Linked DNA regions of Oryzias latipes. The protein of the gene in region 3 purifies or fractionates together with the protein of the main gene of each other region. This does not show direct contact. Links are inferred from orthologs where the notes say so. Each region holds a gene or a part of one and is shown on either strand. Other genes may lie near its edges.

The links.
Region 1: the proteins of polr3gl (region 3) and polr3e purify together in Homo sapiens (co-immunoprecipitation; 5 studies listed by BioGRID and IntAct, counting the BioPlex papers as one, with this or other methods). This does not show direct contact. The link is inferred for Oryzias latipes from reciprocal best matches to the Homo sapiens genes POLR3GL and POLR3E.
Region 2: the proteins of polr3gl (region 3) and polr3d purify together in Homo sapiens (co-immunoprecipitation; 4 studies listed by BioGRID and IntAct, counting the BioPlex papers as one, with this or other methods). This does not show direct contact. The link is inferred for Oryzias latipes from reciprocal best matches to the Homo sapiens genes POLR3GL and POLR3D.
Region 4: the proteins of polr3gl (region 3) and crcp purify together in Homo sapiens (co-immunoprecipitation; 3 studies listed by BioGRID and IntAct, counting the BioPlex papers as one, with this or other methods). This does not show direct contact. The link is inferred for Oryzias latipes from reciprocal best matches to the Homo sapiens genes POLR3GL and CRCP.

What each region holds. Positions count from the first base shown.
Region 1 is NC_019877.2:13,142,969-13,147,202, reverse strand, and holds the start of polr3e (DNA-directed RNA polymerase III subunit RPC5), read left to right. Parts: upstream 1-1,426; 5' UTR 1,427-1,494; exon of another isoform or gene 1,495-1,570; intron 1,571-1,626; exon of another isoform or gene 1,627-1,792; intron 1,793-2,514; 5' UTR 2,515-2,561; coding exon 2,562-2,600; intron 2,601-3,656; coding exon 3,657-3,707; intron 3,708-4,202; coding exon 4,203-4,234. UniProt on the Homo sapiens protein: DNA-dependent RNA polymerase catalyzes the transcription of DNA into RNA using the four ribonucleoside triphosphates as substrates.
Region 2 is NC_019867.2:17,411,589-17,415,713, forward strand, and holds the start of polr3d (DNA-directed RNA polymerase III subunit RPC4), read right to left. Parts: upstream 2,809-4,125; 5' UTR 2,689-2,808; intron 762-2,688; 5' UTR 730-761; coding exon 565-729; intron 372-564; coding exon 328-371; intron 221-327; coding exon 66-220; intron 1-65. UniProt on the Homo sapiens protein: DNA-dependent RNA polymerase catalyzes the transcription of DNA into RNA using the four ribonucleoside triphosphates as substrates.
Region 3 is NC_019874.2:32,576,092-32,580,241, reverse strand, and holds the start of polr3gl (DNA-directed RNA polymerase III subunit RPC7-like), read left to right. Parts: upstream 1-1,349; 5' UTR 1,350-1,508; exon of another isoform or gene 1,509-1,544; intron 1,545-2,487; 5' UTR 2,488-2,530; coding exon 2,531-2,635; intron 2,636-2,886; exon of another isoform or gene 2,887-2,953; coding exon 2,954-3,083; intron 3,084-3,161; coding exon 3,162-3,230; intron 3,231-3,307; coding exon 3,308-3,364; intron 3,365-3,478; coding exon 3,479-3,567; intron 3,568-3,632; coding exon 3,633-3,767; intron 3,768-3,835; coding exon 3,836-3,922; 3' UTR 3,923-4,150. UniProt on the Homo sapiens protein: DNA-dependent RNA polymerase catalyzes the transcription of DNA into RNA using the four ribonucleoside triphosphates as substrates. Specific peripheric component of RNA polymerase III which synthesizes small RNAs, such as 5S rRNA and tRNAs.
Region 4 is NC_019872.2:8,449,022-8,452,969, reverse strand, and holds the start of crcp (DNA-directed RNA polymerase III subunit RPC9), read left to right. Parts: upstream 1-1,140; 5' UTR 1,141-1,216; coding exon 1,217-1,224; intron 1,225-2,337; coding exon 2,338-2,374; intron 2,375-2,472; coding exon 2,473-2,571; intron 2,572-2,644; coding exon 2,645-2,739; intron 2,740-2,869; coding exon 2,870-2,927; intron 2,928-3,948. Other genes in the region: protein FAM111A, read left to right, coding at 1-280. UniProt on the Homo sapiens protein: DNA-dependent RNA polymerase catalyzes the transcription of DNA into RNA using the four ribonucleoside triphosphates as substrates.

The sequences.
Region 1 (4,234 bases), on a different chromosome or scaffold from region 3:
CAATCCTAGGCACTTTAACATTGGGCGTTGGGTCATCTAGACCCCACAAGATTCTTCAATGATTTGTGATCTTCACTGGTGTCCATGGATTACATGAAATCCTCTTCACCTTTATCCACCTTTGTCATGGTAGGGAGAACACGTCAATGGTCATCTTGACCCCATAGGATAGCACAAGGGGTATTTGTGCTTTTTCAAGTCAAAAAATTAATATACCGGTAATTCATATTTATTACAAAAATAACAAAGTAATGAATGCAAAGCAAATATCAAATTTTCCTAAAGACTTTGTGGCTCCTACTACTCCAACACATAAAAGGTCAAATGGCTTTTTAAGTGTTGATGGTTGCAGACCTCTGCTTTAAACCAACAACATGGCTGCTCTCTCACCATCTTCTACACCTTTCCTTTCATTCTTGCTAACATTTTTCTTTTGTCTCACATCATACCTAAACCTTCCTCCACCCATTACAACCTGTCTGCATATGCCTCTACAACCAATCTGTTGTTCTAGACTGGAAATCCTCCCCATCTTCTGCAGCGGACCTTCAGTCCTCTCCTTTCCACGTCAAACCCCCACCTCTCTAGTTGTTCTTCCACTTCCTTTCTGCTTTCAATGCATGTCATTTGCAGACATCATGGTCCACAGAGATTTCTGTCTAACTTCATCTGTCAGTCTGTTCATCACCACACAAACAAGGAAGACCATCTCACCACTGCCTCACACCTCTCATACATGTCCAATTTCCATTGGCACCCTGTGGATGACTGTACCATTGGTGGTTGTTGTTACACCTTTGCCACGATTAGTATAAAATTTATTGTTGTAGTTTGCACGACTGTATTGACTTTGGTTTTACTGGGTGCCCTTCATGACACAACCCTTTGTATTTACAAACCATCTCACAATTCCCTGTTTAAAATTGAACCGTGTGTTTCACCATTGAACTGAACAAAATCGTGGAGAAAGTGAATTGTTGCATCTCGACTGGATACCACTAGGGTGACGTTGAGTGACAATGAGTTGTTTTAAATTTAACACAACTGATTGACACTCAATTGTGTTAAATGTAGGAAGTATTTATTGATTCTTTATTCTTTAAGTAAATTATACCAGTCTTAGTGTAACCCAGGTATAAAAGGTTTCTCTTCATTGGTACTTACCTATTTCCAAATAAAAAAAAAACTTTTCCGAATGTCTCGGTTCTTGTTGTTTCGTGATACACAATTCATATATACATATACGGCACGTATATATATATGTCCCATGTCCTTTAGCCGGACATGGGACAGGTAATGCGTCGTGCAGCCTTGTGGTTGCATTTATAATTGAACATGAATAGGCAGCGTTCAGCTGCCTATGGACTATGATGACACATTTTCCTTCGCAATGCATCACGGTAGCGTGGCCGAGCGGTCTAAGGCGCTGGATTAAGGCTCCAGTCTCTTCGGGGGCGTGGGTTCGAATCCCACCGCTGCCAAGAATTCTTTTTGGTACGTCGTTGTTTTTCCTCAACGCTTGATCTAACAGTTAAAGAAAACACATGCAGAACGAATTAGTGAATAAAAGGTAAGTTAAAGTAAATAGGTTATAAAGACACGTGACAGTGCTCAGTTCCGCAGTTTGGTCCGAATAGCATTATTTGCACGAGCACGTCCAACTCCCCACGTGTCTGTTGAAACAGCGTCAACATCATGGTACCTCAAGCCCGGTAGTTTGCTTCAAGTCTAGTAGTTCACTCATGGACTGTTCTTGAACGTGTTATATATTTAAACTGCAGGGGGTGAGCAGGTGAGGCCTCACGCTGTTTCTATGGGGATGCCACATGTCCAAAGTGCTAAATCTGATGTTTTGTCTTGTTTATCATAAATCTCTGATGTGTGTGTTAGCACGCTAAGCTACATTACTCTGGTTAGCTTAGCTACAGCCTACCTTCAGTTTTGGAATTTTCAGAAAACTCCACAGTTAAAAGTGTCGTTCGTCTCTGTCTACTTAAGCGCGTATTTGTAAAGAAATGTTATTTTGAGTGTCTCTGTTGTGGGGGCCTGTGGCTAGTAATTTAAAGAGCTGATGCTTGCTAGGCTAATGAAGCTAACGAAGCAAGAACTATCTGACTTTTCTGAACTGTGGGCCTGCAGAAAATTGTGTAACCAACATAAATCACAGATTGACAAGGATGCTGGACGTCGTTTGTATTTAGGGAAGTGAAAAACTTCAATTTTTTGGATGGTTGCGTACTATTACATCAGTTTCGCCGTGATGGGTCCGTGAAAGCATCATCTGACATGCTGCATCATCACAGATTAGTTTAGATCGCATATAGATACAGAAATGTAACTTGTTATACGTTTAACTACCAATGAAACACTTTTTTTTTTTTTTACAAATATAATGTACATCTGGATTACTAGGACTTCTGTTAAACCTTTCTGTTCTTTTGGATTACCTGCTGTAGCATATTAAAAGCAGTGTTAATCAATGACGGATTCTTGCTTTGCATTTATTTTGTCCAGGTTGAAGTCCTCTGATATATCACTGCTGCTCCCCTGATCCTATAGATATGGCCAGTGGAGATGAAGATGATCCAATTATAGAGGAGGTATGTTTACGTCTGGAATTTAAATAAAGTTTCAATCCTCTTCTGATCACTGCTATGCAGCAACTTTGAGCCATGAGAAATATGTATTTGAATGAATGAATTAAACTTTATTGATCTCAAAAATAAGGAAATGACCATGTTTATGGGTAAATGTAGTTCCCATTAAACTAGCATGTATTAGTGTTTGTTTTAAGCTAATTTGAAGACGTTTTTCTGTGGTCTGCGGTCGATTGAAAAACAATCCAACATGCTGTTGTCTAACAATTCATCTGTGTTTACACTGTGACCTTCTCTAAAGAGAATGGAAACTACTGACAGCCTCTGAAATCGGTCACATATTTACATTAAACAACATTAACAGTATTAGGCAAGTGGTTTGGTTTTTCCAAACGCATTTTAATTAGAGTGGTTAATTTTCACATACATGTCCTCCATCATCATAAAAAAAAAAAACAATTTTCATCAGAGTGTGGGTCATCAGTTTCTTTGGGAAACCCCCCCAAAAAAGAAGAGCCTCTGAGTTTTGCAGCATTTTTCCTATAACCTGATCTGCAGGATTGCATATTGAGCCATATGTACAAAAAGGAGTGCCGCTGCTTTGGGGTTTTCAACTGGAAATGTCTCCTTCAGTTTACACTTGGTGTGGGAGTTTTAGTGTGTAGATTAGCAGGTGGTTTGTACAAAATGCCCAAGGAAGCCTTTTGTGCCATTGTTTAAGAGAAGTTGTTGTGTTTAAGAGGCAGATGTATTCATAGGCAGAAAAACCTTTTTGGTATTGTTTATTAATATGTTTTCAAAAAAACTATTTTTTAATTGACTTTTTGTGTACTTATGTTTCATGCACTTTAGGAAGCAACGTTATGTATGTAAAGTGCTAAACAAATAATGTTTAGTTTAACAATTTTCTTATTTATTATGTTTTAAGACATTTTATTTAGATAACTACATGAATAGAAATGCAGTTAAGACTCATATAATATTACGTTGAAAACCTTGAAGCTCAGAGTCATTTGTGCAGAGTGGAAAAGTCTGATTTTCATTTGTGTGTTTCTGTAGATTGACGTGTACCTCGCCAAAAGCCTCGCAGATAAGCTCTATCTTTTCCAGGTAAGCATTTCCTTCATTATTGTGCCTGTTTTTATATTCTGCTTAAAACCTTTTACTTTCCTCATGGTCAATGCTTTTTATTTTTATTTTTTTATTTATTTTTTTTACTGTTAAATGGAAGTCAGTTGAATGTGTTAGTCACATAAATATACACATAAAAAGGAAAAATTGAATTCAAAATTATTATTCTTTTTCTGTTTTGAGAGCCACAAACATAATGAATAAGCATTTTTTCTGCCCTTTCAGATGTTTTGTTGAAAATGTGTAACTTGCACCAAACCCATTTCAATTATCTTGATTTTAATGAAATGTTTCTGTTAAAATTTGTTCTTCAAAATGTTCCTTTTTTAGTCATTTATTCCTTAAGCTTTTAATTATTTATCTTTAATAACAGATTAATAAAATAGTATTTTTTCTAAACTTTGATAGTTGAAAAAAAGCTCTCCTCTGGCTTGTTGTGTTGACTCATCGTTTAATCTTTCGTTTTTTGTGCAGTATCCTGTCCGGCCGGCTATTATGACCTATGA
Region 2 (4,125 bases), on a different chromosome or scaffold from region 3:
AACTTTAAAAATGGCAGTTCAGCTGCAGCAGCAAACTGCATATGCTAGTCCTGCTGGCCCCCCACCTCTCCTTTTCATCATCATCTCGGCCGGCCCCTGCTCAAAGATAGAATGGGACTGGATGATCTCTTGGCGACCTCGGCCCCTGCCTCTGTCTCTCGGCCCTCGACCACGTTCTCCACCTCTCCGATCTCTCCTTTGATCAGTCTCAACTTTGGCTCTGTTGCAACCAAAAATTTTTTTTTTAAAACAGTTAAAGCTTCAGTTTACACGAATTTTATTTGTTCTTCACTGCATTTTTCAATCCTAGAAATAAAATCAACTTACTCCTCTTTAACCTTTCGGCCAATGATGTTGGGTGTGAAGGTTTTCTATAAAATTAAAAAAAAGATAAATGAGTAATAAGAAAAGCTGTTTATTTTTGAAATCTAGAAAAAAAAAATCATGATTGCAAGTAGGGCAAAAGAAGCTACAGAAGGGTTTCTTAATATATCTGGTGTGATTAACTCATCTAACACAATTCCTAACCCAAAGATTAAATGGCGAGTGAGGTATGATGCTAACCTTCTTCACTCCTCCCAGGGTGAGGTCCCTTGACCGCATGGAAGGGAGGCGTCCAGGAGAGAGTCCAGCTGGTGGTCGACGCCCCATCTGGAGTCCTACATTGCTGCTGCTGGCGCCTGCAGGAGTGGGAACGCGTTGACTGCTGGACTCCCCGGAGTCCGCCATCCTGAACTTTAAAGGGATGTCAAACTCCCAACCTGGTGGCCAACAATAATACTCATCATCATCTCTCTCAGACAATGGTGATGTTTAAAAGGAAAATACACAAATATTACATAAAAATTGTTTTCAAATGTCTTTATGAGGAGGTTGCACACATTTTACTGCCAGGTGAAACACTACTCTGGATTCTGTTGGCGTGTGCCTTTAAAACAGTTACGTAATGTCCAGGGTGTGTGGCATCTTTCCAAATACAACTCTTTCCCAATCAGTCTGGTAGTGCACTTCCTATCCCCCTCCCCTCTGTTCTTACTACTTCCTGCACGGTCTTCCTGTCCTCTGTTGTGCCTTCAGACAGCGCGGCACTAGAACTGAACCCTCATTGTTGGCCTTATAAAACCTGACCAGCAGTTCCTGAAAGAAGAGGGCCTGCCTCAACTTCCTGAGAAAGTACTGTGTTCTGACCAGGTGATCTCAGCTGTGACGTTTATTTATGGCCCCTCATCCTCGTGTGTCGCCAATCATTGGATTTCAAAGTAAAGCTACAGGCTAGAAGTTCTTTTGTTTTGTTTTTTTGGCCCCTATGCCAAAATTTAAAAGAACCAGCTGTTATCTCGCAAAATAAGATCAACGCACTTGTTTTTGTAATACATCTTTGCAAGAAAATTAGCAATGCTCAACAGCACGTGACACTAAAATTAGCAAAAAGATAAAGAAAAGATTTTTAGTGTCTTATCATCGCTACAAAAGGGGATTTGCGTGTCCCTCCCTTCATGTCCACAAATTCTGTCACTTGAACTGCAGCAATATTTAAACTTAATTTCATCTTCAAAAAATACAAAAGCTCAAAAAACAATTGAAATTTGTAAATTTTTTGGACTACTGATATAAGTTTACTCTCGTATTTTCTCTTTTTATTATTATTTTTTTTTAACTTTATTTTATTTTTTTCTTTGTTTAGTTTTATTTTATTTATTTATTTTTATTTGTTATTGCCTTTTGTGATTGCTTCTAATAATTAAAATTTTCTTAATGTTGTAACACGTTTATTCTACTGTACATTATATGTGCATAATTGTTGCATTCTCTTGTTCTGTATGTTGCAATTGTCCAATTAAAAAAAAGAATTCTGTTATTTCCCTAAACAAACACATTGAGCATGCGCGTCTTACAGGGTATGTTTGATTTGTTGTGCGGGGACGCTCAATTCCTTCACAGTCAAGAGGGCATGTTTCTGTGCCAGCTGGAGGTTGGTTAGTTTGTAACAAGACCAGAAAATCGATCAATGATTTCTGCTGTTTTTCTGAACACTATTGTGATTATGGTCACATGTCTTTTCTAAATTAATTGTTTTTCCACACATTGCAATGGAATGATGCTTTGACATTTCTTTGCTAACATCACCATCACGTCGTTTTTACGCTATAGTTAAAAAACCAAGCATGTATCTGAATGGTACTTTCCAAGATCGATTATCAATTTAATATAATTTTGAAAGGATTTTATAATGGTACAGTTCGATTTGAATCCATTATCAACTTGTTTCAGCCACAAAATCTGTTTTGATGTGTCACTTTATTAATTAATCATTAGACCCCATACCTAAAATTAATGTTATTGAGGTTTACATTAATGTAATTTGTAATAATACCGGGATAAACAAAAATATACTTTCAGTCCGTTCTGTAACCTTTTTCTTTTTATCTTTTTTACTCTGTTGTGGTTCTGAACGTAAGCAATTCAAGACATTAATTAGGAATGATTTCTTAAACTTTCGAGTCTAAGCATTGAGAATAAATTGTGTTTACAATGATATTTGTCAGTGATTTAAATACACAACCAGTATTTACATACGATGAATGAAGAAAAATGTTACAGAAACACGTGGCTAGTAAGATAGATCACAAACAACGCGAAAGCTGTCCAGAGGAAGTCTTAACATATTGCAGTTCTCCAAAAACTTACACGACACGTCCTCGGTGGTCCTTATTCGGAGTTTTCCCCCCTAAAACCTGCCAGATATCAGAAACAAAATCCTGTTGCCTCGTCCACCGCTGCATTCACTAGCGGCGCCATGACACTTCCGCTTTGGCTTCAACTTGCTCTCGAGGATCAAACATGCGCAGAAAAACGCGCATGCTTAGAAACATTATTTTGTTTTATTTTTATGTTTTATTTCAGAATCCACAGTCCAAAAAAATTCACTGTCATAAAAAAGATAAGATTAGATAAACGATTATACTAGTCTTTCCAAATGTTTCCTAAAACAGCTAAATGAAAATTATATTTTGAGTTCTGACATATCGTGCATTAGTTTTCCTGCAAGTTTTGTCAGATTCATAAAAATCTTTTGCATGGATTAATGTTATTGAATGTTTTGAAATAAATGTCTCAGATGTGAAGAACCAAAAGATATGGCATATTTCGAGATTGGAAATTTTTTTTTTCTAAAGATGTTATTTTCCTCTGACATGCTAAGGGAACTGATTATATTACTACTACTACTAACAATAATAATAATAATAATAATAATAATAATAATAATAATAATAATAATAATAATAATAATAATAATAATAATAATAATAATAAATATTTCATTTGTTTGGGCACTTGTTTCCTTGGTTATTTTCTGTCTTACAGCAAAATAGTCTTATGCAACATTCACGCTTTTATATTTCTCGCCTTTCAGCATATTCCTTCTGGGGTCTCGACAGCGAATCAGCTTTCCCTGATTCTCACAGGTAGCTTTGCAGAGATTTTTGCGCCAGATGATCTTCCTGACACAACCCTGTATTTTATCCTAGCTGGGGACCGGCACAGGGGAACCTAGACTTGGGCCCCCTTGTGGCTGCATAGTTACGCAGTACAACAAAGGGTCTTGCCTAAGGGCCCACACTGCATCAAGTTCATTGTGGCCCCTGGGAAGCGGATCCTGGTTTCCCATGATCCAGTCCTACACAGAGCCAACTGAACTATCCATTTGCTACCTTATGCAAACAACTGCATGCAGTTAAATAAAACAGTAAGATTAAATATTTCCATGCAGTTAAACAGATTAAATCTAATATAAACTCTAAATGGAAACTCACATCTTTACATTTTTAAGGAATTAAAATAGAGTTTGTGATATAAGTAATGAATGTTCCTACTGTGTGATATAGTAATAATACAAATAATCTGTTAAAGGAAACATCCAATAGGCCTTCAGAGTGCAAAGAAAATATTTGTTTTTAATATGTGAAAAATATAAATAGATGCAGTTAAATAAATCAATTTGATCAAACAGGGAAAGTTTAGGTTACCTTTTTATGAGCTGCATGTCATTAGAGTATGGTTTAGTGTGAGAAAATATTAAAGGGGAATTCAAGATATAGAGTTTAGATGATGTTTGAAACTCCA
Region 3 (4,150 bases):
CCTCAAAGCCTGTCGGCCATCTTTCTTTCGGTCATTTCTTTGTGAAGTACCGGGTGCCATGTCGCCGACCCCTGCTGAACTACGATTGGGATGTCGTGACAGGGCGTCCACATTCTGCCAGAACGATACTTTATCTCATAATCATCATGGCCCATTTAAGAGCCAAGAACTCCAGCTTCATAGAGCTGCAGTTCTGCATGTTACGCTCTGTAGCTTTTAGCCCCCTACTGGCATGGCAATGGCCGCACACTGCCACCCTGCTCCTGGGACAAAACTGCACCAAGGCCATTGTGGCTGGCATCTACTTCCAGAATAAAGGGTAGTGTGAAGTCAGCACAGGCCAAAACTGGCGCTGACGTCAATTTCTGCTCACAGCACCAAGATTCCTGTGGCAGTATGGTTTCCCCTTGGATGCCTCCAGTAGAAGACTTAAAATGAAGAGCACAGGACTCTCCGACAGGAAACCAAGACTGTGCTTTTAAGAAAATAGACACCCTTTATTACAAATAGTATTAAAATTCCTATTCTGAAAGACACCCAAAAGAGTTAACCAAACCACAAGGGCCATCATGCCCAGCCCACACAGTCAGCTGCACCCAGCCGTGCGCTCTGTTGCGGCACAACAGGCTCAATGCCACGCCCCTTGCGTACAGTGGCAGTAACCGACGCCAGTCCAGGGTGGTGGGACACTGGGCTCTGGTTGTGCCCGGGGCCACAGAAGGCCGGAAGGGGGAACCCGCTCCGATAGCTCTCGATCCGGCTTCATCACGCCGCTCCCCAGTGCGTGGATGGACGGCACTCGCTGAAACGGTGTACAGAGCACACACGATCCCCGGAAATCCCGGCCGTGGCACCGCTCCTGGACAACGGTGCACCAAGGGGTCAGCGGGTTGGATAGAGCAGAAATGCAAACAAACGATGGGAAACAAAAGAAACAGCGGCACCTGCCCCCCAGCTCAGGAGGACTCTCCACAGGAGTCGCATGAGCGGCCAAACACTGCCTGCGATCCAGCTATGGTTATGGTTATGGTTATGGTTATGGCCCCACACACAGCCAAAGGCTGTTGTAAACTTAGTTCATAAATGTTAAATGAGCTGTGATGGTAGCATGCTGCTGCTGTTCTGCTGCTGCTGTTCTGCTGCTACTTCTGCTCCAATAAAACATGTCAGTTGACATGGACAGAGTGACTCTATGGGGGGGGGGGCGGGGGGGTCTCGCGCGGGGAGTAATTCAGGGTAGAACCGCCACTGCTATCGACCATAAATGTAGCTGGATTTCTGTCCTCCTGTCCGATAGGGGGCAGAAACGCGCGGCCCAACGCAGAATGCAAGCGCGCGCAAACTGCCGTAGGACATTTCCGGTGGGTAGTAGGCGGGGCGCCTGTAAAGCGAGGTCCGGGGACGGTAAACAACCGTTCGTGGTGGAGTTTGTGAAAGTCTGAACCGAACATGGAGCGCGCCGCGGGAGCGCGCACTAAGCTGCAGCCGTAACGGAAAAGCGGGAACAGGTCAGAGGAGTCATACCCGACCGAGCGCGAGCCCAGGTCAGAAGGGAGCCCGCAGGGTTCTGATGGAGCTTCACGATCAGCCTGATCGATGAGGCTGATGACGTCAGCCGAAGCCCCTGAATCAAAAACCAAAACATTTTCCTCGTTTCTCTGAAAGCAGCTCAGAACCACAGCGACCAGAGAGGCGTGACGTCATCAGGAAGCAGGGGTTCAAACGTGGGTTCTTAGGCCCCACATGCTGCAGTGTCGTCAGTGACATCATCACATACGTCATCAGGGCTGGAATGGTTCCCTGTCGAGACGGATCCGATTCCTAGTCCATATCTAGTCAATGCAGAATTCAGTCGCCGTTTTAACGCCGCCGCCAGTGATTGGTCCGAGTTGGTCTGAGTCATCGTTTCTATAGCAACCACACTGACCAACCAGGAGTGAGCTTGTTGAAAGGCCACACCCACTTGAAAGCAGGTTACAGAAATCAGTCAAACTTGGGGTTAGGGTCAGCAGGCTCCACCCACTTTCATTGAGGCGTCTGATTGGTCAGTTTATACCTTGAACTACAGAAATGAAATGAAAAATGAGGATTATCAGGAAGAGGTTCTAAAGAATCAGATCCAGAGCGGTTCCTCTGACCCATAGAACGACTGAGGAACAGCCGTTTGTAGATGTCTACGGGATTTTCCTGTTTGGAACGCTAGGGGGCGGGGCCACTCGGTCCAGTTCCCACATGCAGTCACTGGTTTATTCCCGTTTTTTCCTCTGGAAATGCCTGTATACTGCCACCTGCTGGAACAGACGCTACATGACATCAGGTTCTGAGGGGATGGAAGGAACAACCGAAAACGATCAAACACACCTGAAAGGCCTTGATGCGCTTCCCTCTGACCTGAAAAGGGGGAGTGGTCATTGGGCTGTGTGACAGGGGCGGGGCTTACCCCGTGGACGTATCCTGATTTACAGTGGGGTCCTGTTGTGTCTTTAGGGCGGTTCTGGCTCGGTCCGGTTTTGTCTGAGGGGGACCAGCCATGGCGGGACGAGGGCGGGGCCGTAGGCCTTTCGGCACGGACTCGAGCATCAGCAGGGGAGAAGGTCTCCCCCCAGGACTTCAGCAGCCCACGCCTGTGTTTCCTGTAAGCCCCGCCCACACCAGGAAAACCCCTCATTTATATTTAAGTGTTATTCTTTTTGGTTGAATGAAATCCCTCTGTTGTTGTTTTCATTGTTTGTTAAAGCTGTTCATGTCATTCTGAACCTTGTGGGTTATTATGGGATGTCACTGACGTCTACGTTAGGCAGACATTTATCGTCTCGACGTGAACCGTAACAAACAACAGATGCAGGAAAGAGGAGCTCTGACATTTTTCTGCTCTGACACCAACAGTTGGGGTAATGCGCTGATTTTGAAGCACTGAATTCTGGGATTTGAAGTTGGTGGATTTGGTGTCCAGGTGATGGAGCAGAAGCCCCTCCCCCTGGCAGGTGGAGAAGAAGCAGAGTATCTATTGGCCCTGAAGCAGGATTTTAGAGGAGTGATGAAGAATCTGCCATTCTTCATCAAGCCAGCAGCAGCACAGCGAGGTCACACACGTGCACACACACACGCGCGCACACACACACGCAGTCTTATTTTGAAAGTCCTGCTTTCTTCCTGTGCAGATGTTCAGCGCTACTCGGACAAATATCACAGCAGCGAGCAGACGAACAGCCTCACGGACTGGAACCTGGGTGAGACGCCGTTACCACGGTAACATCCAATGAAAACGCCATCAGAACCTTCATGTCTGCACGTCTCTGGATTTCAGACTGGAGACGATTCCCCAGAGAGCTGCAGGTCCACATCAGGAGGAGAGTCAGAGAAGGCGAGTAATCCCATTACTCAGTACTCTGGGTACCTTACTGACTCGTCTGAACAGTATTCATCAGCAGTAATCAGATTACTCAGGGGGGTGAGCATCAGCTGCTGTCTCCCTCAGGTCTGGCCTTCAGCACCATGGATAGTTCTGTGCCAGTCCAGAAGAAGAAGAAGAAGAAGGAGGAAGAGGAGGTGCTGCTCAAACTGGAGGTGAAGGGTTTCTATAGAACCTCTGATGATGATGATGATGATGATGATGATGGCTTTAATGGAAGTGTCTGCAGACCCTGGAGAAGAAGGAGGAGCATGAGCAGAGCTCAGAGGAGGAGGAGGGAGGGGTGAAGAAGAAGCCGGAGGAGGAGGAGGGAGCAGAGGCAGAGGAGGAGTATGATGAGGAAGAACTGGAGGAGGTACGTGGTCAGCAGGCCTGGGTCAGAACCACGGAGGCTCTGCAGGTCTAACTGGACCCTCTGTGCAGGAAACCGACTACATCATGTCGTACTTCGACAACGGCGAGGAATTCGGCGGCGACAGCGACGACAACATGGACGAGGCCATTTACTGAGCAGCTGCTGCACGTGCACGCCACGTGCACGCGTGTGACTGAAGAGGCAGTCCAACCTGGTGTCACCTGCTGCTCCAATAAACAGACGGTCACGTGACCTCGTGTGTCGACCTGCAGCCAACAGTCTGACGTTTGATCCTTTCGGGCCGTACCATACTTCACCACCAGGGGGGGCCGACGTCCCACCTACTGTTGGCGCTGGAGCTTCTGCTTCCAGGAGGTGACGTC
Region 4 (3,948 bases), on a different chromosome or scaffold from region 3:
ACGGGCTGTTGTTGAATATGCCCAACCTCTGCATTTCATTTTGGAAGATTTTATTATCCAAATGGTGGAGGGAAAAAAGTTTGACGTTTTGAGAGAATATCTTGATTGCAGCTACACTCGAGGCACCGCCGTCAAAGACGGTGTCAAAAAAATAGTTGAGAGCAGAAATAACCAACGGTTCAAAGAAGCTGCAAGGAGCTGTGTGGATGACAAAGTTGTACAAACATTCCTTGAGTTTTTCTGCCAAACTGAGGAACCTGTCCCAATGGAGGTTGTTTAGGTCTCATCATCTCATTTTATAGTTATCCTGGGCTTGACTGCAGTAAAACAAAGAAATTCCAGCAGTGAAAAGCAAAAATTAAACGAAAGCTTTAAACTCAGCTTTAATAAAAGTTAAAGCTTTAATTTCTGCACTTATTGTTTACTTTATTGTTGCTCCAAGCAATTCACATGCACCTGTTTAATATAATTATGTGATTTTTCTGTCCCAGAAACATTTTTAACCATCACTCTCCAGTTCAGAGAAAAAATAATGCTGGAAAAAATCTGTTCACTCTTGTATATTTTACTTGTATGGATGTCCAATTCTTACATTTCAGTCTTGACTCATTCCTGTATCAAGTTCTTGAAAAGAAATGCCAACAAAAGGTTTCCTTTTTTTGGTTGTTTTATTATGTTTTGGGATTTATTTGTTTTTTCAAATATAGATTACTCATTACTCAGTGCAGTAGCATAAAATTCATTGTACTTTTTCTGTTTTTGTTTTTAAAAAGCAAAAAGTGTTCAATACTGTGTGCTTCAAATCATGACTAATGAAACTGTATTAAAATCTGATAAAAGTGACTTCTAGTGTATTCCTTTTTTGTTCCCTTACCCTAACAGTAAATGTTAAATGTTTAATATGTTTAAAATAACCCTCGATGTGTTCAGGGTGTACTTCACCTTCTCCCTGATGCTGCTGCATGAGGCTCTGGAAGTCCTTGTTAATTTCATTGAACTGTTTGGTGAAGGGGCTTTCGAATTTACACTTTTTGAGATACTCTTACATTGTTTTTCATTTTCAAACATCTCGGCAGTGTTTCACTTTTTTAAATATTTATTCTGTTTTCTCTGATCCCACGTTCTATGTAAAAATGCGTTTTTTGCTAGGCGGAACCAATATACTCCCCTATTTTCTACACGAACCCCTTTATTGTAACGGAACCTAAGAGTCGACATGGAAGTGTAAGATTTTTTTTTTAAGAACAAAACAACGGCTAATAAGTCTTTTATGTATATTTACATGTACAATTTTAATTGTGATCGATGGTAGTTTCGTGCGTGTTTCAGTTTCGGGTTTATTATGTGATGTTTTGCTTGTTCCGTTGGGATGATGCTGTCGGCCAAAAAATGGAGAGATGATGATCGACACACAAAACAACTGAATTAAAACATATTGAGTCCGGGAGACTTTGATCCATTTTGAAGAGTTTGCAGTCTACAAATGTTTTAAATTGTATTATGTTTGGGGACGAAGTTAGAGACGGGACAAAAGGTCGCGAAATCGTTTATAAACGTAAATTTCAGAAGATGGGAGAAACAAAAAGCACGGGTCGGATTAGTTTGAGTTTGTGTTATCAAATATTTGTTTCAAATCATGAAACATTCCATTTACAAACACATTCTGCGTTGGCTCTTCAATAATAAATGAATTAGTTATGACATGATGAAGCAGCTAAAAAACATTTTGTCATCTAATATAAGCCAACTCAGCCGCACTCCACAACATTTGTCAACTTGTCACTTGAGCTCTGATCTAATTCATATTTGCCTGAAATCACAAACTTAATTTTTCTAAATAACATTGAAGCAAAGAAATATGGGAAACAGGTTTGAATTTAAACAGTATTCTGTCTTGTTTTTCATTAGATTTATTTATATTTATCAAAAGTTTGCTTTTTTTAATTGTATTTCTTTTCTTCTTCAAACTTGAAAAACAAAAACATTTGCTAATATCTATTTCAGTAAGTTTCAACGGCTTTAAAATAATCTAATTGATGGGTTTCTAGTTTTTAAAAAGGGAAAACACAAAAAAAAATTATTGCTGTTCATTAAAGAGAAGATCTGAGGTTCCGATTAAGAAAATTTCGTTATATAAATAAAAATCAAGTAGAGAAATCCAGCCGTTCTTTTAGTAACACAAGGATGTGAAGATCAAATCACAGAAGAAAAATGTTTACTAAATATATAAACTACATGGGAAATATTCCAATCTTATAAAGCTTGTTTTGGTAACAGATATTTTAATTATCTCATAATTTAATGTTTAACAATTGTTATTTGGGTTTTTTTACACAGAAAAAATGCAAACGCGGCCATGCTCAGTAACTATGAGGTGAGACTATAAGACTGTCTATTAAGGGTTTTTGTTGATTTTCCTGCCTGGTAATGAAATTAATTATTCAGAAAAGCTAAATAATGTCTTCGTCTCAGGTATTCAAACTTCTCACCGACCTGAAAGAACAGAGGAAAGATGCTGGAAAAAGCAAACATAGCCTCGGGCAACAGGACCTCAACACCATCATGTATGAAGTGGGTACTATTCATACTGTCTGAGCTTTAGTTGTCAAATCCAGTCCATGTTCTCACCTGCATTTGCTTTCAGACTCTAAAGTATTTGTCAAAGACGCCATGCAGCAGACAGAGTCCTGAAATTGTCAGAGAGTTCCTCACCACCATGATGCCTCAGAAGCTGACCAAGTCAGTATCTAAAAGATAATATTTTTCACCCCTCTGGGGCTTCAATTGTAATTTCCGCTTAATAAATGATGTATAGTTTGGGGATAAAAATGTCTCAAAGTTAAAATTTTGCCATCTTTCTCTCTTTAAGGGCAGAAAAACTGCAGCTGTTAAACCAACGGCCTCAGAGTGCAGTGGAAATTCAGCTTGTAAGTATTTTTCATGTCTTTCTAAATGTTTTATCTTTTTTTCCTAAATAATTTACTCATGTATTCCTATGGTAGCTCTGTATAACAAATGAGATCTTTCTCATATTTGTATTTTTGTTAACTCAACCCAAAAAGGCTCAAATCTAACCCAAAACATGCACTTTTTCACATGCATCCATCAGCAACTTCATTTGTTACATGTAGATTGCCCTACAGGTTCTACCACTCTGGTTTTTTCATGCTATTCCTGTCTGCAGGGTTAGTTTGAATGGGCAATTCACAGTAAATCCAGGCTTGAGCCCATTCCTGTAACGCATTAATAATCTATTGAAGCAGCTATTACAAGACAATGTTAACAATACCTTATACAGCAAACCAAAAAGACCCTCATGACCCGTTTAAGCAAAGCCTTATTATTGCTTTAGCTAAGCGTTGAGGTTATGGCTGTGATGGGTTTAGAAATATTTAATCCTTAAAATGGGTACATTGCACTATTTGACTAAAAATCAAGTAGAGAAATCCAGCCGTTCTTTTAGCAAACTGAGTAACACCAGGATGTGGAGTGCAGACTTCTGATGCTGCTTCACTGGGGTGTGGTGTGTCCCGAAAAAATCTTTTTTAGCAACCAATAATTACTCACCTAAAGCCAAGTGTAGAAGGCTCCCTCTATTAAGAAATAATCTGGTTTCATAATGCAACAGCAATTATATATTGTCCTAAATCAGTTATTCTAGAGCAGATTATCTCTTAGAGTACATTTTAAAAAGTGAATTTCCAAAACTATATGGAGCCTCTTAAAGAACTGCACTCCCTGTTTACCATTTGTCTCTCTGCAATCTGTATCCTTTTAAAATAAAAATATTTTTTTCAATACAAAGCAGCTATAAAGCAGTTGTTGCAGTGAACACAAATGAGGCCATTTCCATTAGCATCCACTAACATGCAGTTCTAAAACTCAGCCTGCAGATGTCGCCCTTCTCACTTTTGAGATGCTTTTAACCCTTGTGCTATCTTAGATGAC